Linked DNA regions of Stegostoma tigrinum. The protein of the gene in region 2 purifies or fractionates together with the protein of the main gene of each other region. This does not show direct contact. Links are inferred from orthologs where the notes say so. Each region holds a gene or a part of one and is shown on either strand. Other genes may lie near its edges. The genes, in order: hspbp1, hsf1 and bag3.

Region 1 (10,769 bases), on a different chromosome or scaffold from region 2:
TTGTCTTCCATGATAGTCTGGGCTGTGCACACCACCTTCTGTAGATTCCTGCGGTAACAGGCAGTGCAGTTGTTACGCCAGGCCATTTTGCACCCAGACGGTGTTTTCAGTGGTGCATCTGTAGAAGTTGGTGAGGTTCCTTATGGACATGCCAACTTTCCTGAGCCGCCCTGTTTCAGTGCATTAAATTCCATGCAGTCACTTGTTTGGGAGAAGTGGTCATTTTTTTCTCACCAGCAAAGCTGCTACTCGGGGGTGGTGGTGGGATAAAAACTCCATCCTCGGTTAGTTAACTGACCAGGGGGCAGTAATGTCCAAGCCAAATGTCAGTCTTTGCTTCATCTTGGATTGCAAGAGAGCATGACATGATAGAGCTTGCGGGAGGAGGGGTAAGGAGTGTGGCGAGGAAGAGAAAGTTGAGCAGGAGTTCACATCTCATTGATATAAATGGATACAAAAGAATAGACAAACTTTCTGTTGGTTGGGCTAGGATCTAAAAATTCAAGCTGGATGTTTTGCGGTGAAATTAGGAAACATTTCTGACTTCAAAGTACGCAGACATTTTTCTGCAAACTGTACTTAATGCTAAACCAAAAGCAAGATACTGCAGAAGACGGAAATCAAAATTGCCTCCAAATGAAAGGTGTAAACATGGATACCCACACAGGCCCTGGTTCTACCTGTCTTTTTGAAGGGGTCTCCCTTCCACAATTCTCCCCACTATAGTTGATGGTCAATGCTTCGTGGTCTCATCTGAAACAGGAAAAATAAAATGCATTCTGCTTCCAATTTCTATCTTTCTCACCTTTATGCGGTCCATCTCTTATTTTTCCCTAATTTCTGTTATCTCCATTTGCCAGGAAAGGTTGTCTGCTCGTATTTATTATAAGTTCCCAACTCCAACAATTGCATTCACTACACCTCCTCTCACAGTGCTACATGTGAGCATCCCTGCTTTAGTTTCTCCATCGCATCTGTGCCAATGATGTCACCTCCCACAATAGTGCTTCCAATATGTACTCGTTTTTCCTCAGCCAAGGATTCCTCCATTGCCCTCTCTTTCACACCCCCCCCCCCAAACTCTGGTGGACAGGTCCCTCAACAATGTTCACTGCACTTACTGCATTTTTACCCTCACCCCTTACTCTCCTTCTCAGAAGTGGGAGTAAGGTTTCTCTTGTCCATTCAACTTTGTTCGCACCAACCTTTGCATTCAAAAAGATCATTCTTCACCATTTCTACCACTAAACTCATCTTCCTCCCCGCTCCCCACTCAGCATCTGAAGAAGTTTCTCCCACCCTGGTATCCTGGTCCATTATTCCCAATACCTCATTTCCTTCTCACGATACCTCATGCAATTATGGGGACGTGTAAAATTTTCTTCGCAATCCAAGACTCCAACCACAACTTCCAGATGAGGCGGTCTTTAGCTTGCACTTCTAGTTTACTGTATTCACCAATCATCATGTGGCCCCTTCAATATTGTAAAGAGGCAACACAGACGGCACAACAGCCTAGCAGAAAACCACTGCTTGGTCTGCAAGCATGACCTTGACCTTCTGGCCATTTCCCGTTTCAATAAACTTGGTCTTTAATATATATATTATACATATATATGTCCCGGGGCTACTGCAGAGCTCCCCAATATAAGCTGCAGCAACAGCATGTCACTTTCTGTTTACACATCTTACAGCCTTCAGGATGCAACATTGGATTCAGACAGTGACTGTTCCCCACCCCTGCCATTCTCTGGTTTTCTTGGTTTTGCTTTTTTCAGCAGCAGTCACATATATCCTATCATTAAAAACCTACTCTGGATCTTCTCTACAACCGTTATCACTCCCACAGTGATAGCTAATCTCATATACTCAAAATCTTCCCCTGATTGTTCCTTTTCCACTGGCTGTTTCTCCCTTCTCAAAACATTAATTCTGTGATGATCATAGAACCCATACAGTGTGGAAACAGGGCAATTGGCCCTACACATCTACACCAACTCAGCTACCCTGTAACCCTACATTTCTCATGGCTAGACTGCCTAATCCACACATCCCTGGACACTATGGGGCAATTTAGCATGGCCAATCCACCTAACCTGCACATCTTTGGACTGTGGGAGGAAACCAGAGCAAATGGTAGAAATCCATATAGACACAGGGAGAAAGGCAACTGTCTGTGTGGAGTTTGCACAGAGGCTGGAATTGAACGCAGGTCTCTGGTGCTGTGTGGCAGCAGTGTTAATCACAGCCACTGTGCTGATGATGCTAGCTCATAGCAGTTTTGAGGAAAGCGGACAGTTGAGAATTATTTTCGCTCTGAAGCTCGAGAGAGTCTGGAACTCACTGTGTGAAAGGGTAGTTGATCCAGGTACTCCTGTAACTTTTAAGCAGTATTTATTCATTAACTGTTCATAATCACTCTCATCTAGAAGGGCAAAGGCAGCAGACACATGGGAGTACCATCACTGACAAGTTCCCCTCCAAGCTACTCACCATCCTGACTTGGAACGTTATCGCTGTTCCCGTCTGTCTTGCTGGAGCTCTTGCAGCTTTAACTGTGCGATTACCTTAGGAACACAGGAATAGGCCATTTGGCCCCTCAAGCCTGTTCTATCATTCAACGAGATTATCCTTCATTTATCCCTCCCCCTTGGTCTATAGAAATGCTTCCTAACATCTCTCCTGAGTGGTCTGACCCGCCATCTCAGCTTATGTACCGTAGTTTTAAAGCCCTGACCCTGTGTAAACATCATATCTTTATCTACCCTGTCTTTTCCTGTGGGTATCTTGAAGATTTTGATTAGATCACCCCTTAACAGTTTAAATTCTAGACAAAACAGAGTTAATTTGTAAAACGTCTCCTTGTTGCTTAAACCCTGAAGTCCGGGTATCATTCATGTAAATCTTACACTCCCTCCAAGGCCATTATATCCTTCCTACAATGTGGTGCCTAGATCTGTTCAGAGTACTCCAAGTGCGGTCTAATCAGACTTTGGTTTGACTTCAGCATAAATTCTGCATCCTCAAACTCCTGTACTCCAGACATAAATGTCAGCATTCCTGTTGCTTTTTTGATTATTTTCTGCACCTGTTCAAGATATGCACCTGAGCACCCCCCCCCCCCCCCCCCCCCGGTCTCTTTGGACATCCACTGTAGTTAATTTCATACAGTCTAGAAAGTACCCTGATCCATCTATGGGTGGCATGGCTATACAATGGTTAGTACCACTACCTCACAGCACCAGGGATCCTGGTTTGATTCCAGCTTCAGGTGACTGTCTGTGTGGAGTTTGCGTATTCTGTCCTTGTCTGCGTGGGTTTCCACTGGGTGCTCCAGTTTCTTCTCACAGTCCAAAGATGTGCAGGTTAGGGTGGATTGGCTGTGCTAAATAGCTCGTGGTGTCCAGGACGACACAGTATGGAGCTGGAGGAAAACAGCAGGTCAGGCAGCATCAGAAGAGCAGGAAAGTTGATGTTTTGGGTGTGGACCCTTCTTCAGAACTGGGGAGTGGGAAGGAAGCTGGGAAATACATAGAGGGAGGAGGGTTGGGGCTGGGGAAAGGTAGGTGGGATGGTGATAGGTGAATGCAGGTAGGGAGTAGTGGGGTTTGGTCAGTGAGGTGGGTAGGGTGGATAGATGGGAGAGAAGATGGACAGGTTATTGTCAAGTCAAGGAGGCAGGAGGGAGGATAGGTAGGGCTGGGGAAGGTAGGTGGGGTGGTGATAGGTGGATGCAGATGGGGGTAGTGGGGATTGGTTGGTGGGAAGTGTAGGGAGAATGGGTGGGCAGGTTGTATCAGGTCCATGGAGGTGGGGATGAGAGGGGAGGGTTGGACATGGGATGAGGCCAGGGTAGGGGAGATTTTAAAACTGGTGAATTCCATGTCTAAGCCATTAGGCTGTAGGCTTCTGATGTGGAATATGAGGTGCTGCTCCACCAGTTTCCGGGTGGCGTCATTGTGACATTGGAGGAGGCCCAGGATGGACATGTGATCGAGGGAGTGGGAGGGGGACTTAAAATGGTTCATGACTGGAAGGTTTTATCATTTGTCACGTACAGAGTGCAGGTACTCCTCGAGTCTGCGCTTGGCCTCACTGATGTAGAGGAGGCTACATCGGGAACATCAGATACAGTAGACCAAGTTGGAGGATGTACAGGTGAACCCCTATTGGATATGAAAAGTTTGCTTTGGGTCTTGGATGGAGGTGAGGGGGGAGGTTTAGAGGCAGGTGTAGCACTTCCTGTAGTAGCAGGGAAAGATGGTGGGGCTAATGGGGAGTTTGGAGTGGATGAGGGAGTTGCAGAATGAGCAGTCTCTACTAAGGGCACAAGATATGGGGAGGGAAATATCTCTTTGGTCTTGGAATCGAATTGTAGGTGGCAGAAGTTGTGGGGAATGATGCTTTGCATGCAAAGGTTGGTGGGGTGATGTGTGAGGAACAGAAGGATGCTGTCTTTATTTTGTTGGGAGGAGGGGGTTTGAGGGCAGAAGTGTGGGAATGGCAAGAGATGTGGTTGAGGGCATTTTTGATCACTGGAAAGGGCAAGTTGCTGTCCTTGAAGTAGAAGGACATCTGAGATGTCCAGGAGAGGAACGTCGCATCTTGAGAGCAGATGCGGCAGAGACGGAGGAATTGGGAGTATGGGATCGCAATATTGCGGGGGGGAAGGGGTTGGTGAGAGGAGGTGCAGTCCTGGTAGCTATGGAGTTGATGGGTTTGAAATAGATGTCAGTGTTGAGGCGGTTACCAGAGGTGGAAATGGAGAGGTCCAGGAAGCGGATGGAGGTAACAGAGATGGTTTAAGTGAATTTGAGGTTGGCTGGAAGGTGTTAGCAAAGTTGATGAGCTGTTCAAGCTCTTAGTGGAACACTATCTGCATAGTGTCTGGGAATGTGTAGGCTAGATGGGTTAGCCATGCTAAATTTGGGATTATGGGGTGGGGGGGGGTGTTCTGGCTGGAATATTGTTTGGAGGGTTGGTGCAGATTTGATGGGCTGAAATGGACTTGATTTTCTGCACAGTGGGGATTCTACGTTTCTATCCCTTTTTGGTCAAAAATGGATAACCCTACTCTTATAATGAACTCCATCCGCCACAGTTTATCAATATTCCTTTGTAATTTAATGCTGTTGTCTATGCTGTCCACAATGCCACCTAGTTTGTGTCATCATCAAATTTGGATATGACTTTCAATGCTATTGTTTAAGTCATTAATAAATAATGTAAATAATCGAGGCCTAAACATAGGTCCTTCTGGGACATCACTGGTTAAATGCTGTCAAATTGAGTGTCTACGCATAACCTCTACATTTTGTCACCTGCCACTCAGCCAATTTCCTGGCCATATCAGTAATTTGACCTCCGTTCCCTAAGCTTCTTCCTCTTCACCTCCTCCACCATGCTATAACATGCCTTCTCCACACAGATTGCAGAGTTTCCAGAAAACAATTCATCATATCTCTTTTATGACTATTTACAGATGGGCAATAAATGCTGGTTTGGCCAGCAACACCCACACACTGTTAATGAATAAGCAAAAAAAAGGTTTAATTACTTGGCAAAGATCATGACACATAGCACCAGAAGCAGAACATTTGCTTCTTCTCTGTTGCACCATTCAATAAGATTGTAATTGATCTGATAATCCTCAAGTCTACTTTCCTGCCCTATTTCGTAACCCTTGATTCCCCTTCTGCCCCCTCAGCTTTGAACATACCAACCCAACATCAACAGTCCTCTGCGGGAATTAAAATACTGTCTGACAGAAGAAATTCCTCATCTCTGTATTCAATGGAAGATCTCTTACTCTTGCCTTTGGTCCTGACTGTCACACAAGGGGAAACAACCTCTCAACACATACCCTGTCAAATCACCTCAGAATCTTATGTTTTTCATTAAGGTTTTTGTCATTGTTCTGAAGTCCAATAGGTACAGTCCCAACACAATCTCTTCTCATAATATCAGTTATCAACTTTGTTTGTATGGCGAGAAAGTAAAATATTTAGATGAGCACACAGGCTAAGTGCAGCAAAATAGGATTAGAATAGGTAGATATGATGAGTTCATGGCCTTTATTTGAGTTGTTAAAAACTCCATTGCTTTGTAATTTGGAGCATCAAAGTCCAGTGTCTCCCTATTGTTTATAATAAAAATAACTGATGATTTGAAACAAAAACAGAAACTGTTGAAGAAACACCATTTCTGGCACCATTTGTGGACAGAAAACAAGGCTTTACGTTTTAGTTTCATTGAACCTCCCTGCCTCTGGCTTCAGTGAGATAAAGGCCTGAGGGGGCTGGTGGGTTTCAAAGATGGCGGCGCTCAGATGGCAACACACGCAGCCAGTTGCCCCGCAGTGGCGTCACGTCCGGCACCCTGACGCCACAAGGCAACCGTGGCGCAACGTCCGGCAAGATGGTGGCGCCCATGGGCTGAATGCGCTGGAAGAATCTGGAAAGGTGGAGAAGCTTCGGTGCGGTCGGCAGCGGCAGGAGGTGGCTGCACGGCCGGGAAGGTGACCGGGCCAAGAGGTCGTGGAGATCGGGGTAAGTGACCTCTCCCTGTCCGGTAACAGTGCATTGAAACGGGATTGGGAGCCTGTGGAGGTTTAAGGGAGAGCAGGATGTGGGGTGTGCGACCATTTCGAGGCGTCTTGTTGACTTGGGGGGGACGGTGGGTGAGGAAACGATTCCTCTCAGTATGGGCCTGGTTTTTGGAGCGGAGCAGAGCGCCATTTCTGCGGCGAACCCCTCCCCCCTTTCCCTGGGGATGGTTTCTGACCGAAACCTCAACTCCGTCTCTTTCCCCACAGATGACACCAGCCCTGCTGAGCTTTTCCAGTTTCGGGCTCTCAGCGTCCGCAGTCCGTTATTTCAGGCACAGTGCGTCTCCACACTGACCTCGTTGATCAGGAGCATCAAAGCAGCACGTTGCTGTCTCTGCATTGAGGATCGTTCTTATTGAATCCGAATGGGTTTCGTTTTGGCAAGGAGGGTGATATGTAACATTTGGAAGCCTTGTTGAGGCCATACATGTAATGTGAACACGGGTGGTCCATAAGGCAGTCGTCTTTCCTAAGGACGGAGAGGTATTCTTAATCTGTTCAGACATGATATAACCCCTCTGGAGGAGTGGGAGTTGATCCTGGGCTTCAAGAGCATTTTCCTCCTTATCCCCACGGAGGGATATATTTTACAGCTTTTTGTAGCTTTTAGGCTATAAACTGAAGTCGGGAAAAGGGACCTTGTGCTCACAGGCATATCATCCACAATCTTGCTGAATGGCAGTGCAGGTTTGAGAGGCTACTTTTCTTTCTTAGGCAGCTGTCCCATTCCTAGTGGCTGTGTATAGCAAGTGGCTGAGAAATGTACACTTGTGCGATAGTCGTAGTGTCCCTGTGGACCAGGAGGCATGGTTCAACACTCGTTTGCTTTAGAAGTGTGTAATAACATCTCTGAACAGGTTGATTTGAAATTATATAACAATTGTTTGCGGTTGGTCTGAACAGATGACTTTTTTTCTGAAATCGAAATAGTTTTTTTACCCTAATATTCTGGTTGGGTTCTACCCTTGAGATGCTAAAGACCCAGGCAAAACAGATGAAACTCATGATGAATTTGTACAAGGGATTCAGAGAGGCAGGTTCAATGTTGAATGAATAATTGGAACTGAACTGGGAAGAACCAATAGAACAAATTCTGAGAAACAGGGGCCTTGCATTTAAAATTGAAGGATGTTCTGTTTTAAAGTGTTTAAGATGTTAAAAATAATTAGGATCGATAGAGAGCAGCTGTCTTTGGGGGAAAACAGGGACAAAGCTCAGTGGTTGTGTATTTTTTGCCTTGTGGGCCAAATTTCCTTGTGAAATCACGGTCTGTGCTTCCACCAATCTCATAGGCAGTGAGTTCCACATCATTACCCCTCAAAACAGAAAAAATAGTTTATTTCTCAAATTTACTTTGCATCGCTTACCTGAAACCTTTAATTGGTGCCCCTTCATCTTTATAAAATCAGCTGATGAGAACAGCTCCTCTTTTTCCACCTTACTTGTTATAATTTTGTACTCTTTCATCAAAATTTTCCTTGATTATCTTTGATAGTTTGTTTAGCTTAGGCGTATGGCCCAAAAAGCTACTAAAATCATTTCAATTCCTCCATTAGAGCAAATCTTTATTTGATGTTTTCTGTAGCTTGGGTAGCCCTGAGTTATGTCTTGCCTCTTGAAGATGCATTTTTAACTGCCAGGATTCTATGCGTATGTCAAAATGTGGAAACAAAATGTAGGCACATAGTATTTTTTAAAAAAATATTTTGTAGGATGTGTGTGTTGCTGGCAAGGCCATCACTTATTGCCCATTCTGAATTTCATTTGAGTTCGTGCTGGTGAGCGGCTGCCTTAAATTGCTGTAATCCACTTGGTATTGGGAAGGGAATTCCAGGATATTGAACCAGCCACAGTGAAAGAATGCAGATATGATTCCAAGTCAGGACAGTGTGTGGCTTAAAATGAGCTTGCAGGTGGTGGTGCTCCTTTGCCTCAGCTGCCTTTGTCATGCAAGGTGCTGGGGATTGTGGTTTAGGTGGGTGATGCCGAAGGTACCAAAATGAGTAGCTGTATCATCTTGTAGGAGGTGAGTGGTTACACTAGTGGATGGGGCACCACCATCTGGTCGATGATGATCTTTTCAAGTGTAATTGGAATTGCATTTGTGTTTGAAAGAATAGAATAGACCTTTCTGTCACATATACTCAACATGGAGAGTGAAAAATTTATACATTGCCAATTACAGCACTGACTTAGATACAAAAGTACCTTGTAACAAAAAAACTGTGCCAAGATTTTAGATAATACTGAAAAGAGTTCAGTACAGCAGACCACACTGGCACTTAGCTTCCAGTATGCACTGGGCTCTGGCTCCACACTGCGCTGGCGACACGCTGCATTGGGAAGTCGCAGCAGGAGGCCCCACAGGACAAGACTGCTGTGCCAGGCTGGGAGTTTGCTATGCTGCATGAGCTCGAAACATTGCAGTGCCAGGCGGCGAGGTCCCTATGTTAGGAGGTCACCATGCTATGCCAGGGGGCCCATACAGGAGGAAGTTACCTCGCCAGTGCTGGGAGTTTGCCAGGCTGGGGAATGTCGCTCCTTGCAGACGCCAGGAGTCAAAGCAAAAAAAAAAGAAGAAAAGAAGCACTAGGAGGAGAAAAGAAGAGCAGGTGGAGTGGACGAGCATCCTACTTTGCCATCTTGCAACAGCAAAAAAAAGTGGACAGTATTCTGTCACACTCCAGGTGGTGCACAGATTTTGAGGAGTTGAGAGATGCGTTATTTACCTTTGAATCTTTAGCTGCTGGGTTGCTGTTGTGGCCACAGTATTTGAATGGCTGGTCCAATTCAGTCTCTGATCAGAGGTTAATACCCCACATCACCCTGCCCTCTCTTGACTGGTGTGCAGTATGAATGTTGACGACATGGGATACAGCAATGAGAGTGCCATTGAATAGGAGATGGTTAGACTCCTTATTAATGATCATTACCTGGCACTTCTTTGTATGAGGAGATTGTGATGTTGCAAATGCAGGTGATACATATAAAGCTTTTCTCCTTCATGTTTACTGACTGACCTGCTGTGTGTTTTGTCTTGCACGTGTGAAGTGAGCCTGAATGTTTGCATATCTGGGCATAGGAATAAGATCAGACGAGACCGCGAGGTCTATCTACAGTCACTGTGTCCACATGACAGTACAGCTCTTGCCTCCCTGTAGTCAACAATTCTGAGACAATTCATGTACAACAGTATCCTTTCGGGAAAGAACTCTTGCATGATCTGGCTGAGATGTGACCCCGAATCTACAACACTTCTAAGACTGAGATTAGGAGAAATATTTTTCTCTGAGCGCCATTAATGTAGAACTCCCTTCCCCTAGAGGTCGTATAGGCTGGGACTTTGAATTTATTCAAAGCAAAGTCAGTTAAATTTTAGATGGACAAGCAAGTCGCGGATTATGCAGGGCAGACAGGAAAGTGGAATTGAGACCACAACCTTGTGAGCCATGGTCATTTAAAATATGCAGCAGGATCAAAAGGCTAAACAGCCCACACCTGCTCCTGATCCTGTTTTCCTATTTTGCTGACTCTTAGCTCTGAAACAACCAAGCAATTCTTTTACTCAAGGGCAGTTAGATATGGTAATAAATGCTGGCCTTGCTAGTAACACCAGGTCTTGTGAAGAATAAAGAGGATAAACCCCTTTTCGATGACACTGGTACCTTCTGTCTCAACGGAGTGGTGGAAAGAATTGGGGTGTTTTCCTCACATTCCCTGCTTGAATGAAAGAACAAGTGAAATATTTCCAAATTCTAGCACCCTTGATAAAATATCAGAAAATGGTGGAAATACTCAGCCAGCCTGGCAGCATCTGTGAAAAGAGAAGCCGAGTTATGAGTTCAAGCAAATGAACTTTTATTAGAGGCATAACCAGTTTTGGTAAGCACAGGCAGAAAAAGTGGGCTGGAGGAGAGAAAACGAACCAAAGACAAGGTCTAGGGTCAGAAGGAAGGCAGGGGAGATTAATTGAATGCAAAGCAAAATCAGATAATAGGGTAAGTAAACAAAATCCAAACTTCGGTCTGCCTTACCCATTTACTTGAGTACTATTTTGCTTTAAAAGGTTGTTGTTTGGTTTTCCTTTCTTCCAGACTGAAGCTTCTTAGTAATGGCAGACGGTGGATCGGAGAGAAACAGGCAACGTCCCAGCAATCTGCAG
Region 2 (10,023 bases):
ATGCTATTCTGTTAATCTAGAGACCCAGGTAAGGTTCTGGGGACATGGGTTCGAATCCTGCCATGGTATATGGTGGAATTTGAGTTCCAGACTCTCTCTCTACTGAGATAGTAGGAACTGCAGATGCTGGAGAGTTCGGAGATAATTTCTGAAGAAGGGTCTAGGCCTGAAACTCCTCTGATGCTGCTTGGCCTGCTGTGTTCATCTCTCTCTACTGAATTCAATGTTAATGATGACCATGGATCCGTTGCTAACTGTCAGAAAAATAACTAACAAGTTCACTAATGTCCTTTAGGAAAGAAAATCTGCCATCCTTGCATGGTCTGGCCTACACATGACTCCAGGCCCACAGCAGTATGGTTGACTCTAAAATGCCCTCTGGGCAAATCAGATGTGCAATAAATGCTGGCCTGGCCAGCGACATCCTCAAGAGGTGAATGGATTAAAAAAAAGCTGCATTCAGAGTTTCTTCAACAATTTCTGCTTGTCTATGCTTATTTAACAACTGTATTTATAGAACCAAAGGAGGTAGTGCCATGAAATGTAGCGTGTTCACTTTTGCTGCACCGTAATTGTGGTCCAAAACATAAGCCCAAGCACAGTGTCCAAAGAAAGCTTTTGATTTAGGTTCTCTACTGGCCAACATTCCTTTCTTCTCTCTCCATAGCCCTGGCGTATTTTAACATGGTTCTTTGCACTTGTTTTCTTCACCTCAACAGTGCAGTTAACAGAACTAAACCATGTAAAGAGCTTGTAATCACTACGAGCTTCATCTTGCGTTCCTAAAATTCCAAGCTTTCTGTTGCTGTGAGATCTCAATGCCCTGTTTCACCACTGCAGTTAGTCAGATTGATTGCAACAGAAATCTGCTTTAATATCAAGCTGCAATTCTCAAAGCCTGTGCTAAACTCCCAACTTCAAATCATTTACTTTGAAAGCTCCAACAGGTGCCAACTCCCTTTTTTGTTTGCAAAATTCAGACTGAATGGGTGGGTGTGACTCGCAACAGTATCAACATCAGCAAAAAAAACAGAACCAGTTTGGATATAGAACTAGCCTGAAGGTAGACGAAACACAGTCATGGTGAATGGTTGCATTTTCAGACTGGAGGCCTGTGACTTGCAGTATGCCACAAGGATTGGTGCTAGGTCCACTGCTTTTCATCATTTTTATAAATGATTTGGATGTGAATATAGGAGTAAGTTTGAAGATAACACCAAAATTGGAGGTGTAATGGACAGCAAAGAAGGTTACCTCAAGAGTACAATAGGATCAGATGGGCCAATGGGCCGAGGAGTGGCAGATGGAGTTTAATTCAGATAGGTGTGAAGGCAGGACTTATACATTTAATGATAAAGTCCTGGGGAGTGTTGCTGAACAAAGAGACCTTGGAGTGCAGGTTCATAGTTCCTTGAAAGTGGAGTTGCAGATAGGTAGGATAGTGAAGGTGGTGTTTGGTGTACTTGCCTTTTTGGTCAGTGCATTGAGTGTAAGAGTTGGGAGATCATGTTGCCTCTGTACAGAATATTGGTTAGGCCACTTTTGGAATACTGTATGCAAATCTGGACTCCCTGCTATGGGAAGTATGTTGTGAAACTAGGAAGGGCTCAGAAAAGATTTACAAAGATGTTGCCAGGTTGGAGGGTTTGAGTTAGAGGGAGAGGCTGAATAGACTGGGACTATATTTCCTGGAGAATTGGAGGCTGAGGGGTGACCTAACAGAGGTTATAAAATCATGAGGGGGGGATGGAAGGGCTAAGTAGATAAAGTCTTTTCCCTTGAGTGGGAGAGTCCAAAACTAGCTTTAAGGTGAGAGTGGAAAGATTTCAAAGGAACCCAAGGGGCAACTTTTTCATGCAGAAGGTGGGGCTTGTACGGAATGAGCTTCCAGAGGAAGTGGTGGAGAGTGGCACAATTACAACATTTAAAAAGACATCTGGATTGGTGTATGATTAGGAAGGGTTTAGAGTGAAATAGGCCAAATGAGACTGAATGTATTCGGGATATCTGGATGGCATGGATGAGTTGGACCAATGGGTCTGTTTCTGTGTTGCACATCTCTATGGCTATGACAAAAAAAGTGACACCAACAGCCAGGTATCCTGCTAAATGTCTACCTTACTGACGCAGGTGTACATTATTCTTCAATATTACCTTTAGAAGGTTGGATTAGTTCACAATACACATACACAAAAAAGAAAGTCAAGTTGCACTGGCTTGTCAACCTCCTTCGACTCCGCAGTAGTCATTTACCACGCTAGGATTACCAATTCTCTGGGAATGTTATAAATTGTAAACACCCTGCCTTGATGCTAATGACCTAGTTTGGAAATAGCGAGTCAATTCAGGCAGAAAGTCAACCCGCATCTAATTGCTTTTTGTCATTTGTTGATTCCAAGGAGAGTTGCTGGCAAAGTCAACATTTTTGACCTTTGTCAGTGACCCTTCAGAAGTGGCACAGTGTTGCTTTCTTGACTCAATGAAGCCCTTGAGGACCAGGTACATCCACAACACTTAAGAAAGGAGTTCCAAAATTTGGACTCAGTGAAGGAAAAGTGTTTGGGAAGGGAACTGGCAAGTTCTTATTTATCTGCTGCCCTTGTCCTTTGAGGTGGTGGAGATCATGGGTCTGGAAGGTACTTCCAAGGAGGCTTAATGAGTTGCTGCACTGCATCTGGTAGATCATACATACTGCTATTACTGAGTGGTGATGGTGGGAGTAGACATTTGAGAATGTAGCGTCAATCAAGCAGGCTGCTTTGCCCTGGACAGTATTATGTTTGAGTGTTGTCAGAGCTGCACACGTGCAGGGATGTGGAGAGTACTCCATCACACTCCTGACTTGCACCTTCTGGATGGGTGACTGGCTTTAGGAAATCAATGTCCATCAGGAATTGCAAGGTCATCAGGCTTTTACATAAATCATTCCATGGGCGTCACTGGAAACGGCAGTATTGATTCCCTTGAAAATGTTGTGAGCATCTTTTTGCAGCAAAGTCCAGCATTATTTTGTGATGGAAAAGCATCTGTGTGCCAAATATGTGGGCTCCAAGGGTAAACAGATCTTTGAAAAAACACAGAACTGCAGATGCTGGAGAATCTGAGATAACAAGGTGTCGAGCCAGATGAACACAGCAGGCCAAACAGCAGAGGAGCAGGAAGGCTGACATTTCGGACCGAGACCTTTTTTCAGAAAAAAACAACCCTTCTGGGTAGGCATCTTTAGAAGAGGCTTTGCAGTGGGGTTAAAATTGTTTCAGAGATAGCAGGAACTGCAGATGCTGGAGGATCTGAGATAACAAGGTGTAGAGCTGGATGAAAACAGCAGGCCAAGCAGCATCAGAGCAGCAGGAAGGCTGATATTTTGGGCCTGGACCCTTCTTCAGAAAGAGGGTCTAAACTGAAAACGTCAGCCTTCCTGCTCCTCTGATGCTGCTTGGCCTGCTGTGTTCATTTTGAAAATGCACTGCTGCCTTAGAATCACAGAATCCCTATAGTGCAGAAAGTGGCCATTTAGTCTGCACCAACTCTGAATAGCATCCCACCCAGGCCCAACCCCACAACCCTATCCCTGTAATCCCACATGGGGTTTTTAACCAGGGAGTTTTAACCCACTTAAGCTGCACATCTTTGGACATAACAGGGCAACTTTTAGCATAGCCAATCCACCTGGCTTAAATATCTTTGGTCCGTGGGAGGAAACCAGAGCATCCATACAGACACGTGGAGAATGCACAAACTCCAGTCACTCAAGGGTGGAATCGAACCTGGGTCCTTGGCGCTGAGGCAATAATGCAAACTACAGTGCTATCTATCACTGCAATACACTGTCTGAATTTAACCTTTGATTATTTGCACGTTTATAGTTGCTTACACAAGTAGGAAACAAGGATGAGAACTGGAGTAGGCCATTCAACACAGTATCAGTGCAAAATTCAGAAAGGCCACTACCACTCAGCAGTGGATTCAGACATAATGAAGTGTGGTAAATAATATTTAAAGCATGGGAGTATAGTTTCAATAAGCCAACTCTTAAACAACGTAAACACAAACAACCTTGCCCACAAAACTGTCACTTTGACAAATAATGATGATCTAGCGTTTTTAAATATTACTTCAAACCACAAATCGACTTAATAAAGTAACTTGTCAGATAATACACTTTTTAATCTTAAGAAAGTGATACAGGGCGTTGGGATGTCATCCTTTTAGCAAGCTATTTAAGAGACTATGTTTATTTAAAGCCCACGCCCCCTTGTGCGTGTGTTTTCTTTGAACGAGGCCTTGCTCAAGGCTTCCTGGGCCTCTGATTTACTTACCGCACTCCAGCAGATCAGGTCATTGGTGTCGGGATCCTCGATTAAAGTCCATAGTTTGGTGAGGAATGCGGGCACATTGCTGCCGTGCGCGTCCATCCGGAGACGCGGCCGGGGCCGACCGTGCAGGCGGCGGACCTCAGGCCCCTAAGCCGAGGAGAAACTGGGGCAGGCACACAAGCCGCTGGCTGGCCTCAGTATTCAAGGACCCGGGCTTGGACCGCAAGGGAAAGGTGGTCTAATCCGCTCAGTGAGAGAAAGGGAACGAAGTGGGGCGGAGGAATCTCCTGAACAAAATGCGATCTCCAAAACGACACCTTATCCAGCAGCGGCACACTCCACAGCAACCGCCGCCATCTTCCTCACGCAGTCTTTCCGGGCCCCTCCCCCCCTCAAACCACCCATTACGCAAAACACGGCCTTCATTTACCTCACCGTTTGAAAAATTTCATTTTCCCCTCCTTGCCGCATCGAGAACAAACCCACTCACTTATCTGCTAGACCTTGTAAGGGCCGTTTTGTTTAAAAAAAGTGGAAAATCCATCTTTAACCTTTAACCTTCAGGCTAACGGGCCAATCACCGTTTCCATTCCCACACCCACCTCCACTCGCTACCCGCCTCCTCAACGTGAACGCTACGTCCGTCCAGTGTCCTCGTGACGTCATGCGTTGACTTAACCTCTGACCTTTCCCGCAGCGCGGCTCCTGCAGTAAGATGGCGGCTGAGAGCATGTCGGTGGCCGGGGACAGGAGGAGCAAAACTGCAGGGAATAAGCGGTCGCTTCCAGATCTCGATGAAACGGACCAGGTCTGTTTGACTGTTGTTTTTGCGGGTGTTTTAACTCGTGTTTTGGGTGCGTCAGTAATTTTCGCTTGAAGCGAGGCAACGAGGGCGGGCGGAAATGCTGTTCTCGAAACCTCCAACGTGGGTCTGGATGAAACCGTAGTTCCTATTCAGTTTTCAAATCACTCCTTTTTCTCTCTACTCTCCCTCCTATTATCTTCTTGTAAACCTATTCGATGACTTGCTGCTGCAGTCCACTTTACCACAAGGAGACTGTGCTCCTTAATGTCGTTCAAGATTTTGATCAAAGGATCATGCGTGTTCTCTCTGAACTCTGGTAATTTAAAAATTGCTTCCCGTGAAGGTGTACAACATGTGGCTTCTTACTGTGGGCTCCACTGCTTTTTGTCATCTCCTTTGGCTTGATAGCATTTGATGAAGGAACAATAATATTGCGTGATTCCAGAACCAGGCATCGCAGTTTAATTATTATCGGGTGCCTGTTTAGGACACATGGTCCCACATGGAAGGCTGGTCCAAAAGGTTATAGCTCTTGGGATTCAAGGCAAGTTAGCAAATTGGATCCAAAATTGGTTTACAAACAGGAAGCAAAGGGTGATGTTCGACGGCTTTTTGGTGATTGGAAGCCTGTGACCAGTGGTATACCATAGAGGGAGGTGCTGGGACCCTTGCTGTTTGTTATAGAACAAAGAAAATTACAGGACGGGAACAGCCCCTTCAGCCCTCCAAGCCTGCACTGATCCAGATCCTCTACCTAAACCTGTTGCCTATTTTCCAAGAATCTGTATCCCTCTGCTCCCTGCCCATTCATGTATCTATCTAAGTACATCTTAATGACACTATCGAGCCTGCCTCTACCACCTCCGCTGGCAACACGTTCCAGGCACCCATCACCTTCTGCGTAATGAACTTTCCACGCATATCTCCCTTAAACTTTTCTCCCCTCACCTTGAAATTGTGACCCCGAGTAATTGAGCCCCCAACTTTGGGGAAAAAAGGGTATAATTAGTAAGTTTGAAGATGACATAAAAACTGATGGTGTTAGTGAGGAGAATGGTCTCGGGCTATAGTCTAATATTGATTAACTGGTAAATTGGGCAGAGCAGTGGGAGATGGAATGAAATCCTGATAAGTGCAAAGTGATGTATTTTGGAAGGTCTAATATGGGAATGATATACACAATGTGTAGTCAGTCGCCAAGGGATTGCTGAGGAACTAAGGGACCTTTATATACACGTCCAGGTATCTCTGAAGGTGTCAATACGGGTAGACAGAGGTGAAGAAGGCACATGAAATGCTTGCCTTCATTAGTCGGGGCACAGAATATAGGAGCAAGGAAGTCTTGTTACAACTTTATGAACATTGATTGGGCCACAAATGGAATAGTGTTTACAGTTCTGGTCGTCACGTTGTTGGAACGACTGGATTGCACTGGTGAGGGTGCAGAGCAGTTTCCCTAAAATGTTGTCTGGAATATAGAGTCTCAATTATGAGGTGTGACAAGATAGGACTTTTTTTCCTTCCTTGTAAGAGAGGATGTGTTTAAGACCAGAGGCATAGCTTGATATGCAGAGAGAGTGGTTTAGAAGGAAAATTCTTTTATCCAGAAAGTGGTAGAAATATGGAATGTTCGTCTTCCCTGGACTGACCAACCCCTACCAACACTCGCCTTTACGCGCTCCATCCCTGCCTTCTTGACCTATCTGCCTCCTCTCCACCTATCTGCTCCTTTATCCATCTTTCATCCACCTCCCCCCCTCTCTATTTCAGAATCCCCTTCCCCTCCCCCATTTGTGAAGAAGGGTCCAGACCCGAAACGTCAGCCTTCCTGCTCCTCTGATACTGCTTGGCCTGCTGTGTTCATCCAGCTCTACACCTTGTTATCTCAGAAATGTGGGATGCACTGCCTGAAAGGTTGGTAGAGGCAGGTCCTCATGCAACATTTAAGAAGCATCTGGATTAATGCTTAAAATGCTGGGGCACAGTAAGCTACGGACCAAGTGCAAGTAAAGGGCATTAGTGTAGTTTGGTGTTTGTTGGCTGGCATGGACATGGTGGGCTGAAGGGCCATAGACGGCTTGTCCAAAAGACGTCTTAGACTGAAATGAGAAATCTATTCACCCAGAGTTATTTTCAGTGGAGTTTTTTTTTGTATGCGGAAAGTGGTTGGAGTTTTTTTTTAATGGAGTATGTCTTCTTTTTAAAATGTGAAAAAGTGAAAAGCTTTCACTTAAGATTGTGGAAAAACAGTTGTCTTGTGGAATATAAGATCAACATATAGTTAAAAACCAAAAGAACTGCGGATGCTGTAAATCAGGATCAAAAACAAAGTTGCTGGAAAAGCTCAGCAGGCCTGGCAGCATCTGTGAAGGAAAAAACAGAGTTAATGTCTCACGCCTGGTGACATTCTGAGGAAGGGTCACCGGACCCGAAAGATTAACTCTGTTTTCTCCTTCACAGATGCTGCCAGTCCTGCTGAGCTTTTCCAGCAACTTTGTTTTTGATCCTGATCAACATATAGTTCCCTACGAACAATGAATTTTGAAGTGGGGACCCTTTGCTCGAGCGTGAGTATCTCTTAAGATTATTGTAGAGGGAAAAAGGTTTGAACTCTTATTTCAAGGTTTATGGCGAGGCTTTGACCAGTACGATATAGTTGGTATTTTTGTTTCCTTTTTATTTGTGCATAATAAGCATTGTTGTTCTTTTCTAACAAGTACATTGGCTGCTTCTCATGAATATGTTCATAGAATGATTACTGCAGTGAACAAATTGCAGAAATAAAACTTAAGGCTTGTCAAACCAAGATTTATGAACCAGCCCAGTTCGTCCCCTCCCCCCACTGCACCACACAACCAGCCCAGCTCTTCCCCCCCCACCCACTGCATCCCAAAACCAGTCCAACCTGTCTCTGCCTCCCTAACCGGTTCTTCCTCTCACCCATCCCTTCCTCCCACCCCAAGCCGCACCCCCATCTACCTACTAACCTCATTCCCACCTCCTTGACCTGTCCGTCTTCCCTGGACTGACCTATCCCCTTCCCTACCTCCCCACCTATACTCTCTCCACCTATCTTCTTTACTCTCCATCTTCGGTCCGTCTCCCTCTCTCTCCCTATTTATTCCAGTTCCCTCTCCCCATCCCCCTCTCCGATGAAGGGTCTAGGCCCGAAACGTCAGCTTTTGTGCTCCTGAGATGCTGCTTGGCCTGCTGTGTTCATCCAGCCTCACATTTTATTATCTTGGAATTCTCCAGCATCTGTAGTTCCCATTATCACATTTATGCTGGGATTGTCTGGTATTGCCTTCAAATATGGTCATTGGATGTTGCAGGAAACCTTCATGACCTACCTTTCCCTATAAGAGTGGACTTGATGGGCCGAATAGCCTTACTTCCACTCCTATGTCTTATGGTCTTATAATCTATGTCGCTGAAGGATAAAGGCAGGGACATGTGATAGGCACAACACATGTGCTGCGTGGTAAGGTTGTATATGTTAGTACAACATCTCCTCAATCAAACATCTTGGAGATGTTTCAAGTGCAATATTGTTGCTTGAGAGAGGAGAAGTTACTCCAGTCCCACTACTCTGTAAGAGTATGAGAAATAGAAACAGGATTAGACCATTTGGCCGGTTAAGCCTACTGCAGATTAGGATCCTAGCTGATCCAAAATTCATCATATCCGTTTTTCTGCTCCTTCCCCGTAATCCTAGATTGCTCCGACTGATCAAAAATCTATTTTGGCCATGCATATAAACTAGGGCTCTCCCCTCATCAACTCTCAGTTGCAAGAATTTCCAAAGATCTTTAACTCTGAGTGAAGAGGTTCCTCCCCATCTCGGTGTTAAATTAGTGCTCCTTTATTCTGGGGTGATGCCCTCTGACCCTAAACGCTCCCAGGAGGGGAAACATTCTCCTAGTATTCACCCTGTAAGGCCCTTTAAGAATTCAATATGATTCAATGAGATTACTTCTCATTCTTCTGAACTCTAGTGAGTAGAGTCCCAACCTATTTAACCTTTGCACATAAGACAATCCCTCCATACTAGGGATTATCCTGGTGAACTTCATCTGAATTGTCTCTCATGAACATTTTTTTTCCTTTTGATTTATTCATTTGGTGGAATGTGGGCACGCTGGCTGGCCATCATTTATTGTCTGTCCTTTGAGAAGATGGTGGTGAGCTATTTTCTTGAGCCACTGCAGTTCTCCCACTGTGGGTTGACCCACAATTCCATCAGGGAGAGAATTCCACGACCCTTCTTTTTCAAATAAAGGGACCAAAACTACTCTGAGTACTCCAGAAGTGATCTCATCAGCATCTTGTACAATTGCAGTATGACTCCCCTACTCTAATATTTCAACAGCTTTGAAATAAGGGCCAACATTCCATTAGTCTTCGTGGTTATCTGCTGCACCTGTGTGCTAGCTGTCTGTTTTGTGCACAAATTCCCCCAAGTCCTGTTCTGTTGCAGATTTCCACAGTTGTTCTCCATCTAAATGATCTGCTCTTTTGTTCTCCACTCCAAACTGAACAACTTCACATTTTAAAAACTGAAAGAGCTGTAGATGCTGTAAATCAAGAACAAAATCAGAAATTGCTGGAAAAGCTCAGCAGGTCTGGCAGCATCTGTGAAGAGAAAATCAGAACCTTTATAGGGTGATCTTTATAGATTTTACGAAAGCATGGAGGGGTATAAATAAGGTGAACAGCAAAGTATTTCTCCCTAGGATGGGGAGTTTAAAACTAGGGACCATATTTTAAAGTGAAATAAAATGATTTAAAAGGTATCTGAGAGGCAGTCTTTTCACATAAAGGGTGGCTCGTGTGTGAAATGATTTGCCAGTGGAAATGTTAAATGCAGGTATAGTTACAGTTAAAGGCATTTGAACAGGTATT
Region 3 (10,203 bases), on a different chromosome or scaffold from region 2:
AGCAAATGCAGAGTTCACTTTCATACCAATTCTAGAGGGTTAATTATGGAACCAGGTTTTATAAACTTGGCTTGTATCTCTTGATTTTACATGGCTAATGGCAATCTAATTGAGGGGTTTGAAATCATTATTCATTTTGTTAAGTTAGAATAAGAGAAAGTAAACTCAGATTAAGTTCTGGGGACCCAGGTCTGAATCCAATCATGACAACTGACAGAATTTGAATTTTTTTTAAAAAATCTAGAGTTAAGAGTCTAACAATGACCATGAATTCATCGTCAATTGTTGAGAAAAAGCCATCTGATTCATTAATGACCCTTAGGGAGGAACTGCCGTTCTTACTTGTTCTGGCCAATATGTATCTCCAGACCCAGGACAATGTTGTTGTTTCTTAACTGCCCTCTAGACAATTAGGGACAGGCAAGGAATGCTGGCCGAGCCAGCAATGCCCACATCCCGTAAATGATTTTTAAAAATAGTACTTCCTTTAATCGGAGGAATACACAACAAATCAGCATCATTTAAATTTTAAACTTGCCCATTTAAGAGAGAAATGTGAAAATACTTAGTTGCTGAAATGAAATATTCATGATCCAGATCAATAGATATCTGTTGGTTAAACATATCAAGAGATATAGAATAATGACAGATAAATTGAGCCGAGTTATTGATCTGCAATGTTTTAAGTGTATAGTGTGATGGAAACAACAAATAAGTTGAATGATCAAACCCTGGTCCTTTGGCACCCATGCCACCTTAACTTCTGCAGTTGTGATAAACTAAATGTTCTTTCCAACACCCTCTAGTCCCTGAATTTCAGTTTGTGTGCTTCCCTCCACTAACAATAATGTTAGCTTTTTCTTACTTGTCGTGCTGTGCAAAACACCTTTTCAAAATATTTCCATCTCTCTTCAACTTTAAAAAGTCCCAAAAAAAACGCATCTCACTAACTAGAGTTATGGTCTGACCTCATAATTTTACCTACAAAACTCTTTATCTGTAAAGTACTTTGGGACACTTTTAAGTTGACATCACTATTTAGCACACATGCTGCTGTTATCTAGGTTGAAGTTTTAATTCTAAATTTACTTTTAATATTTTTGGGTTGCTTTCACCACTCTCAACAGTACTGGTAGACAAACTAGCTCCCAGTCACCCCTGCTGGTTGTTGAAACCAGAGTAAAAGGGTGATCTATGTACACTCAATTCCATTTTCGCTTCCTCTCAGCAAATGTCTCCTTTTAGTGTCCCTTCAAGCTGAGAGCAATGACTCAGTCATTTAGGAATCATAGGGGAGATTCCGTCCTGTACTGTCCTGCAGTAGGTCACATTAATGTCTTGGCATCGTTGACCGTAAAGATGCCTAACAGCCACTTACACCTAAATTTCGAAAGGCTTGAACTCAATAGATTTGTGAAGCGGGTTGGAATTGTTTACACTCAAATAGTAATTAGATTATTAACTTGCAGCATTACCACAAGTGAATCCAAGTGAATTATAACATTTAAGATGAATTAGACTAAAGAAAAGGGAAAAAAAAAAGAGAAGAAAGAAACAGGGGTTGCTCCAACACTGGAGCTAACACTCCCAATGAAGTTAGAGACTAAATGGGAAATGGATAAGTGCACAAACTTCAATGTCAGTTTCAGATTAGTTCAATATATGAAAGTCAGCCAAGAATAATAGATATGTGCTTCAACTGCTTCAGAAGTTAAACATTCTCCAAACTCACAGCTCAGTGATTCAGCACATGACTCCTAATCAGTTCAAAGTTGGAGCTCAGGTACACCTGTGCCCAGAACTTGCTGCTGATCAGTTTGTTCATTTCTGAGCCAATACAGTGGATTCCAGCAAAAAGGAGGCAGACCAGCTCAGGTTGTTTAACTAGCCTTGCCTGTAGAGCTTGATTACTGTAGCCACAAAAGCATTCATAACTCTGAATGCACCATCTTCCTCCTATTACCAGGGAATATAAAATTCTTCAGGGGACAAAATATTGGAATTTTGCTTTTTAAAAAGCACGTCTCGGCATTTAGGTTATCATAAATTCATTTAGGTACAATAACCTCATTTTAAAACTTGGTTTATACAAGATTAGGACAGCATAGTTGTTTAGCTTCCATCAACTGTTCACAACTTTGCCCATTTTTCTTAGGCTACAATATATGTTAAAACAAGGAATGCACATTTCCTAGCTATGTATCCTGGTCATAAGTGTGACAGGATCAGCATATGATCTTCAGATCAGCATCAATTAAAATCTGTTGCCTCATTTTTCTTTGTAATTAGCTCAGTGTTATTTTTGCCTTGAAACGCATTGCTTCATGTCTCCGATTTTGCAGGTGGATTTAAAGGCGGCAGTACATGCGGAAAGAGCAGCAAATCTATGTGCACTGGAAAAAAAAGGAAAGCAGTTTCTGGTAGCTTACTTCACATGGTAGAAACTTCACTACGTGCCTCCGAGCTGTGCTGGGTGTCACCACCAGCGTTTTTAACAGCTGACAGCTGTGCAGCTCCACAGATCCCTCATGTCTCCAAACCTTCTCCTGACAACTGACTCAGGCAGCTAAACAAGGTGCCCAGCTGCCAGGCCCTGCCTGAGCCCAGGCAGGCACCGAGCGAGTTCGACATCAACTCAGATAGACCCAAATCTTGCTCGGATTTTCAACTTAGGGCCTGCTATTTTGTTTGGGAGGAGGGAGGGGAGGGGTGAATGATCCGAGAAACTGAAGCACAGCAAGAGGGGAGGGTTTGCACAGATCACGCTGCACATGTAGCCCCTTTCCTCGAAACCTTGGCCAGGCCGTAAGTTAAAGGTTACCCAGGCGATGTTTCATCAGATCGGACTGCAGTGCGTCATCCCAAAACCCAATCTTCATCACTGACACCATCAACATGCCATTTTTGTTCGGGGCCAAATTGCTGTCAATGTTGGTTTCGCTTTATCTCTCATTTAAAAACAAAAATTAAAAAGCGGGGGGGGGGGGGATTGGGGGAGGGGAGCATGGATTGAGTAAAGGTGTCTGATGGAGCATTTACCTTTTTGCAGCAAACAATCCCGACTCCAGGGAGGGATTTTGTTTTGTTAATCGGGCTGTTCGTTACAAAAGACTGAAGCTGGGGAGGAGAGTGTCCCCTGTCACCCCTGCACAGACAGAAAGGCTTGATCTGCATTTGTAAAAACACTACAGTCTCTCCCTCCAGACACCCTCCAGGGTCAAACACGTACACACCCCTACCCCCACCTACATACATGTACACACACACACACACAGAGAGAGAGAGAGAAAAACAAACAGCCCCTCGTTAGAATGTGTTCGGAAACCGTCTCCGGGGGGGGGGGGGGGACGGACAGACAGCACTGACCTTCGGCAGATCCAGTCTCGGGTCACTCCACGTTGTCGTCCGGTTGTTGTGATCGACGAAGAACGGCCAGCCGGTCTGAGGGTCAATCTTGATCTCCCAGCCCGGGGGCAGGGCATCGCCGCCGCTGGCCGCCTGATTCGGAGAATTCTTCATTGTAAAGCCGGGCATGGTGAACTGAGCCATGGTTAGTCCGCTCTCCCCTTTCCCCTGGAATATTTATAGAGTGACACGGGCAGGCAGAGGGCTGCACTGGAAAGTCTCTAGAATTTGATCTGGGAGCAGTGAGCAATCGGAGGCTCGAATGTTCTGGCTGCTTCTCTGCTCCTGTGAAGACGATTGGGCGAGATGATAAAGCCGCATTACTAACCCATTGCTGTGCACGAACTGCAGTAACCCAGGGTTGGGTTACTGGCAAAATCTCCTCAGCTTCCCTCCCCCTGCTCCTTTCCAAATGGCAAACAGCTTGACGCCTCAATATGTTGACCAGAAACGGTCTCTCCCAGCTCGGATCAATTCTCAGGCACCCCTGATTAATTCATCAGATATTGTTAGGTTGAAGAGACAGCTCCAGATCCCACTATACCCTAATATGGTCAAAGTTTTAGCAAGTGGCATAAACTTTTTCGAAGGATTATAAATCATGAAAGTTGAGTTTCATTTTGGTTGAATGAGGTATAGCCATATAAGGTGCATTTCCAAAATAAAACAATCATTTGAATCACATCAGCCGGGCTGCGGTGCTAAATTCGCTGCCTAATTAATATGTAAAAGACCGAACCTGTCAAACCAGATTTATAAAAACCGAAAGAACTGCGGATGCTGGAAATCAGAAACAAAAATAGAAATTGCTGAAAAACCTCAGCAGGTCTGGCAGCATCTGTGGAGAGAAATCAGAGTGAACGTTTTGGGGTCAGATGACCCTTCATCAGAACTGATAGTTGCTCAGAAAAGTTGGTTTTTATGCTGGATAGGGTGGAGGAGATGGGTAAGGAGTAAACAGTAAGTGGATAAAGCACAGGATTTTTTTTGCAGACAGAAGGTAAATGTTCTGCAAAGTGATCACCCATTTCCCCATTGCAGAGGAGATCACATTGTGAGCAGGAAATGCAGTGGACTACATTGTGTGAAGTGCAGGTAAAGTGCTGCTTCACCTGGAAGATATGGCTGGGCCTTTGGATACTGAGGAGGGAGGAAATAAATGGGCAAGTGTATGGAAGGTGCAGTGGGGAGTGTTGGGAGTGAAGGAAGAGTGGACCACAGTGTCCCGGATGGAACAGTCCTTGCAGAAAGCTAACACGGGAGGGGAGAGGAATATGTCTTTGGTGGTGGTATCCCACTGGAGGTGGTGGAAACAGCAGCTACCTGAACTTCCAGTTGCCTGCTACTTCAGCACACCGTTTTATTCACTGGCCAACATCTCTGTCTCAGGCTTGCTACAGTGCTGCAGTGAAGTTCAGCACAAGCTGGAAGAAAAGCATCTCATTTCCTGCTGGAACTCTACAGCCTTCGAGACACAATATCGAGTTCAACAATTTTAGGGCTTGAAGTACCTTCTCCCATGCCCCTAGACAATCCCCACAGACCAGACCTTGTTATCACATAGTCTGCAATTTTGCACAACCCATTGTTAGCCAATAATAATCTCCATTAGTTGGTATTCATTTTCCTAGCCTGACCGTTATCCACTCCTCTGTCTGTGCAATTCTTCTTCTCTCTTTGGGCTCTATCTCCACCTATCATTTACTCCCTACCACCTCCCCCCACCCTATCTTCTGCATAAAAAAACAACTTTTTCCTCACAGTTCTGAGGAAGGGTCACTGGATCTGAAACATTAACTCTGATTTCTCTCTATGGTCAGATCCGCTGAGCTTTTCCAGCTATTTCTGTTTTTGCTTCTGTTATACTAGATGATAGAATCATGTATATTGTGGTGACCAGTCACCGTATTACTGTTTTGATAAGGATCCTCTTTAAGAGAGTCAAGGAAAGCAGAAAGGAAAGGGCACCTTAGCTGTTAGCCTTGAAGATAAATTCTATGATACAAAATTAAAGGCAGCAGAGTTAGGCATGGGTAATAAAATGTGAGGCTGGATGAACACAGCAGGCCAAGCAGCATCTCAGGAGCACAAAAGCTGACGCCTGCTGTGTTCATCCAGCCTCACATTTTATTATCTTGGAATCTCCAGCATCTGCAGTTCCCATTATCTCAGAGTTAGGCATGGGGTTGGGTTATGTTAAGGTCATGTTTTGAGGCTAGGTTTCAGTCTAGGGTTAGATCAAGGGTTTTTGAAGATAAGATATCCGTGTTCATTGATTTTCCATCTTTGCATCTGAATTCCAACAGGAATTAGTACAAATGATGATTAACACAAAAGTACTGAATCGTTCGTGATGCTTCTCCTCGATCCTCACCCACCGCAAGATCAAGCATCAGTGAAATCCATGGATGTAAAAAGAATTGACTCCTTTCTTCCCCAAAAAGGCTGGTGATGAACCCCAAACTATGTATATCTTAGGGCTGTTGTGATGCAATGGTAGTGGCCAAACCTTTGACTCAGGAGGCCTGGGTTTACATCTACCTGCTCCAAAGGACTGAGTGATTAGAATGAAAAAAAAATAAATTCGACCTTGTTCTTTGAGGATACTTACTGGCAATCAGGATGGTAGCTACTTCTGAATAACTAACTCACCCTGGGAAAATAACAATGTTGTTTGATTTCTTCATTATGATCAATTTTTAAATTTTACATGTCTGTATTTGATCTTCATTTCATTAACCTCATATCATTATTTGCCTTCTGATTTTAATTAATGGGAATTGATTACCAGAATGTTCCACTTCCTGGTTTACTGATTGTGAAAATTCTTTAATGTGATTGAGCAGTTTAGCATCTTGATGTCATCTCTGCAGTTCCCTGCTGAAAATTCTCATTACACAACATTCCACCCAATTGCTTGCCCAGAGAGGTAAAGGTCCAAACACAGAGACTGATAGATCCCTTAGCAAGACCATCTTTAAGGTCTACAGCAATTGCCATGCTTCATACAATCACAAATTATAGGCTTATATGGATGTTGATGTAAATTTGAAGTAAGCCTCTTTTCAGTTCTGCAACATATTTAATTCATTAATGTACCCTATAGAATTTTAGTTCTCTCTGTGAAGCATGAACAGGGACGGCAAATTAGTACTGTCACTGCAGGATCACTCTATTCTTGCCATTTTAACCACAGATTTTAGCCAATGAGTCAGGATAGGCGAGAGCCTCATTAAAATATGAGTCCATTTCTATAATGTTTGTCGGACTTCAACATCATTTTGGCACCAGAATCAGTCTCTCCAAGTCCCTGAAAATAAGAAATTGGAGGGAAATTTTCAAATTCCATCGATCTTCTTTCTGACATTGCTGTTATCCCCAAGCCCGCACCATGCCCCAGTAAGATCAAATTTCTTTAAATGGATTCCATTATGGACCATTTCATTTGGATGGAGGATGAGCTGATACAAAAGAGCAGCAACCACATGAGCAGTAGGTGATCCTCTTAGATAACAGCAAATGAGGGGGGCCTGCTGATAGGAGCCCACGCCGAGAATACTGGGTGTAATGGCTGAAAATTGGTTTCTTGGATATATCTGATTAGCAGTTCTTCTATATTGCTGATTTCCTCATGCCCCTGCCACAGGATCTGTTACCTGCTGGAACTAGGCAGTCACTATTTACCAGGGTGTCATCAAAGTTATTTTGTTACTTGTTTTACGTCCTCACTCTGACAGGTTAGATCACATGTAGTGTCAATCTCTGAGCTGGTGCTTGTGTCAAAGATAATAAGACTGGGCTCTTTGACGACCACACAGTTCACTTCATTCACTAGCAGATGTTGTCAGCCTATTGGCATCGCACCCTCGTTGCCAATTTTATGTCAAAGATTAAATGACTGGGTTCTCTGAGGACCACACAGACAGATTTTTGGAACTCACAAACAATATCTTCTACTTGTACAAGGGCGGGTTTTCCTACTGACAGCAAGGTATTGATACCCTAACTGTCAGTCTGAGAAGAGGAAAGGGTTATAATACACACACAGTATTTATACAAATCTGGATAGATGCAAATCGTTCCGTTTGGCAGTTGGATCAGGCAATGGGCATGTGACATAGCCACAAAATAGTAATAAGACTTACAGAGAACTGAACAAACAAGATGCGGTTAATGAGATTACAATTTCAACTCTTTAGCCCTTAGTTAACAAAGTGTTCAGATAAACTAGAATAGTGGTCACTGCTGCTTGGCGTCATGAGATTACAATTTTACCCATTAACCCTTAGCTAACAGATAAGCTCCTACATTTGACTGAGTGCTGGGGAGTGGGCTGGTTACATGGAAATGTAGAAGATGGGGGCAGGAAGAAGCCCTTTGGCCCTTCAAGCCTGCACCGCCTTTCATCACGACCGTGGCTGATCATTCAACTCAATAACCTAATCCTGCTTTCTCCCCATAACCTTTGATCCCATTTGCCCCAGGTGCTATATCTAGTTGCCCCTCAAATACATTCAATGTTTTGGCATCAATTACTTCCACAGGCTCACCACTCTTTGGGTGAAGAAACGTCTCCTCATCCTAAATGGTGTAAAAGGTCTAACCCCCCCGAATCCTCAGAGATTGACCCCTGAGACACACCCACCATCAGGAACATCCTCCTTGCATCTACCCTGTCTAATTCTGTCAGAATTTTATAAGCATCTATGAGATCACCCCCTCATTCACCTGAACTCCAGTGAAAACAATCCCAACCTAGCAAATCTCTACTCATACATCAGACCTGCCACCCCCAGAATCAGCCTAGTAAATCTTTGTTGCACTCCTTCGAGAGGAACAGCATCCTTCCTCAGAAAAGAAGACCAAAACTACACACAATATTCTAGGTATGGCCTCAGCAAGGGCCTGCATAACTGCAACAACACATCCCTGCTCCTGTACTCAAAACCTCTCGCAATGACGGCCGAAATACCATTTCCCATCTTTTCCGCCTGCTGCACCTGCATGCTTACCTTCAGTGACTGGTGCATAAGGCCATCCAGGTCCCATTACACACTCTCCTGTCCCAAATTACAACCATTCAGGTAACAATCTGCCTTCTTGTTTTAGCTTTCATACTGAACAATCTCATATTTATCTAAATTATACTGGGAATGAACTGCTTAAAGTGCATTCTAAAGTAAATATTTGCATCCTCTCTTGCATCATGTACAGGTGCTAAGAAGGACCCATATCAAAGAGAAAATGCACAACAAATACCTTGGTTGCATATTCTTGGTTGACAGTCATTAAACTGCATCCAGATGTTGTCAAGCTGGCTGAATATGTGACTGTTGAAGTGAATTATAAATAATAGACACACTGCTCAGTTAACCCTCTCCTTCCCAAAAGCACTCACGTTTTATGCTGGGCTAATAGTTTGCAAAATTTCTGTTCCTTTTGAATGAGGGTCCCAATATCAAGTAATTATCCTCTCATCTCGCTTCTTAACTTCACTTGATATGCTGTCTTATGCTGCAGGAAGAGAGGGTGGGAATTACTAAGTGGCCCTTTGAAAAACAAAATGGGGATAGGTAAAACTGCAGTCCAGGCAAATATGCAGTCTGGATGGAGAGGTGAGGAATGTAAAGGCAAGTGTGTGGATTGTGAAGATAAGAAGAACGATTTATGCATTTTTGGAATCAGGAAGAGAGTTGTTGCAATATATCCTTGTTATTTAATTTGAAGGTCAAAAAGAAGTGAGGGTGTTGGGAGAGGATGGACAGGAATTTTTAATAGAGTCAGATCCTAAGGTGTTCAAGTTGGGACTTAACCTCTCAGCCATCTCTGTCAATGTTGGCATTCTGTCCATTCTGGTTATCTTCCTGCAAATTTAGCAGAACAGGATCTCAGTCTCTGTGCATGACGATACCTACTGACAGCCATTATTCAGTATTGCCAATAAAGTTTTCACAGATACTGAAAAGTGAGCTTGTAACTGCTTTTTAGATAGTCCTTCGCTGGTTCACTGGAAATTGCATGGCGCAAATAGGATGGCTACTCATTCCCAGATGATGGGTGGGAAGATTATTAATCTCATTCTCATGAACTTTTAGGCCTGATGCTGATGACAATGTGTTAGGTTTGGGGTGGGGGGTCAGCAGATTTTCACTTGACCTGCCCTCACCCTCCTACCTGCATGACTCCCACTATTAGGTTCCATTACATTAGAAAGTATGGCTGATGCAATTCTGTTCTTTTGTGCAACTGGATAGGATGAAAATCTATCCTTATATCATGCTCAACTTAGTCTTGGAAATTCACTTTCAGCAACAGTTTCCTTTGGTTCCTCTGGGAGCTTGCAACTGCAAGTGTCAGCCTGTTTGTGTATTAGAGCCTCATTTGGGTTTATGTTTGAATGCCCCTGCTCACCATTCGATGCCTATCAGCATGAGTAAGTTGTTAACTGTCTCAGTGTTTAGTTAGAAGGTCATCTGGCTTACTCTGGAAGCCCTGGTGGAGTCACATATCTTTGGGGCATGTCTGTTACCAGCGTTGATATGTTGAAATTTTACTTTACCTGTACTGTAGAATGCATGCTTCTATCACAAAAGGCAACCTCTTGCAGAGAATAGTTTGACTTGTCAGCAGTTTATATTTATATTGCAATTCACAGCGAGAATGGATATTGCAGAAGGAAGACGGAATTAGATTAAGTATGATGGGAGAAGACTGGTGAAGCAGCTAAATAACAGAATGAATCCACTTAGCCAAGAGACCTTGTCTGTCCTGTAATTACAACATAGTCCTCTGTCACAA

The links.
Region 1: the proteins of hsf1 (region 2) and hspbp1 purify together in Homo sapiens (affinity purification with mass spectrometry; 5 studies listed by BioGRID and IntAct, counting the BioPlex papers as one, with this or other methods). This does not show direct contact. The link is inferred for Stegostoma tigrinum from reciprocal best matches to the Homo sapiens genes HSF1 and HSPBP1.
Region 3: the proteins of hsf1 (region 2) and bag3 purify together in Homo sapiens (affinity purification with mass spectrometry; 3 studies listed by BioGRID and IntAct, with this or other methods). This does not show direct contact. The link is inferred for Stegostoma tigrinum from reciprocal best matches to the Homo sapiens genes HSF1 and BAG3.

The regions. Positions count from the first base shown.
Region 1 is NC_081391.1:14,490,448-14,501,216, forward strand, and holds the start of hspbp1 (hsp70-binding protein 1), read left to right. Parts: upstream 1-6,391; 5' UTR 6,392-6,548; intron 6,549-10,701; 5' UTR 10,702-10,718; coding exon 10,719-10,769. UniProt on the Homo sapiens protein: Inhibits HSPA1A chaperone activity by changing the conformation of the ATP-binding domain of HSPA1A and interfering with ATP binding. Interferes with ubiquitination mediated by STUB1 and inhibits chaperone-assisted degradation of immature CFTR.
Region 2 is NC_081355.1:158,992,944-159,002,966, reverse strand, and holds the start of hsf1 (heat shock factor protein 1), read right to left. Parts: upstream 4,688-10,023; 5' UTR 4,416-4,687; coding exon 4,320-4,415; intron 1-4,319. Other genes in the region: ribosome biogenesis protein bop1, read left to right, coding at 5,032-5,124. UniProt on the Homo sapiens protein: Functions as a stress-inducible and DNA-binding transcription factor that plays a central role in the transcriptional activation of the heat shock response (HSR), leading to the expression of a large class of molecular chaperones, heat shock proteins (HSPs), that protect cells from cellular insult damage.
Region 3 is NC_081373.1:25,965,757-25,975,959, reverse strand, and holds the start of bag3 (BAG family molecular chaperone regulator 3), read right to left. Parts: upstream 3,872-10,203; 5' UTR 3,550-3,871; coding exon 3,367-3,549; intron 1-3,366. UniProt on the Homo sapiens protein: Co-chaperone and adapter protein that connects different classes of molecular chaperones including heat shock proteins 70 (HSP70s), e.g. HSPA1A/HSP70 or HSPA8/HSC70, and small heat shock proteins (sHSPs), e.g. HSPB8.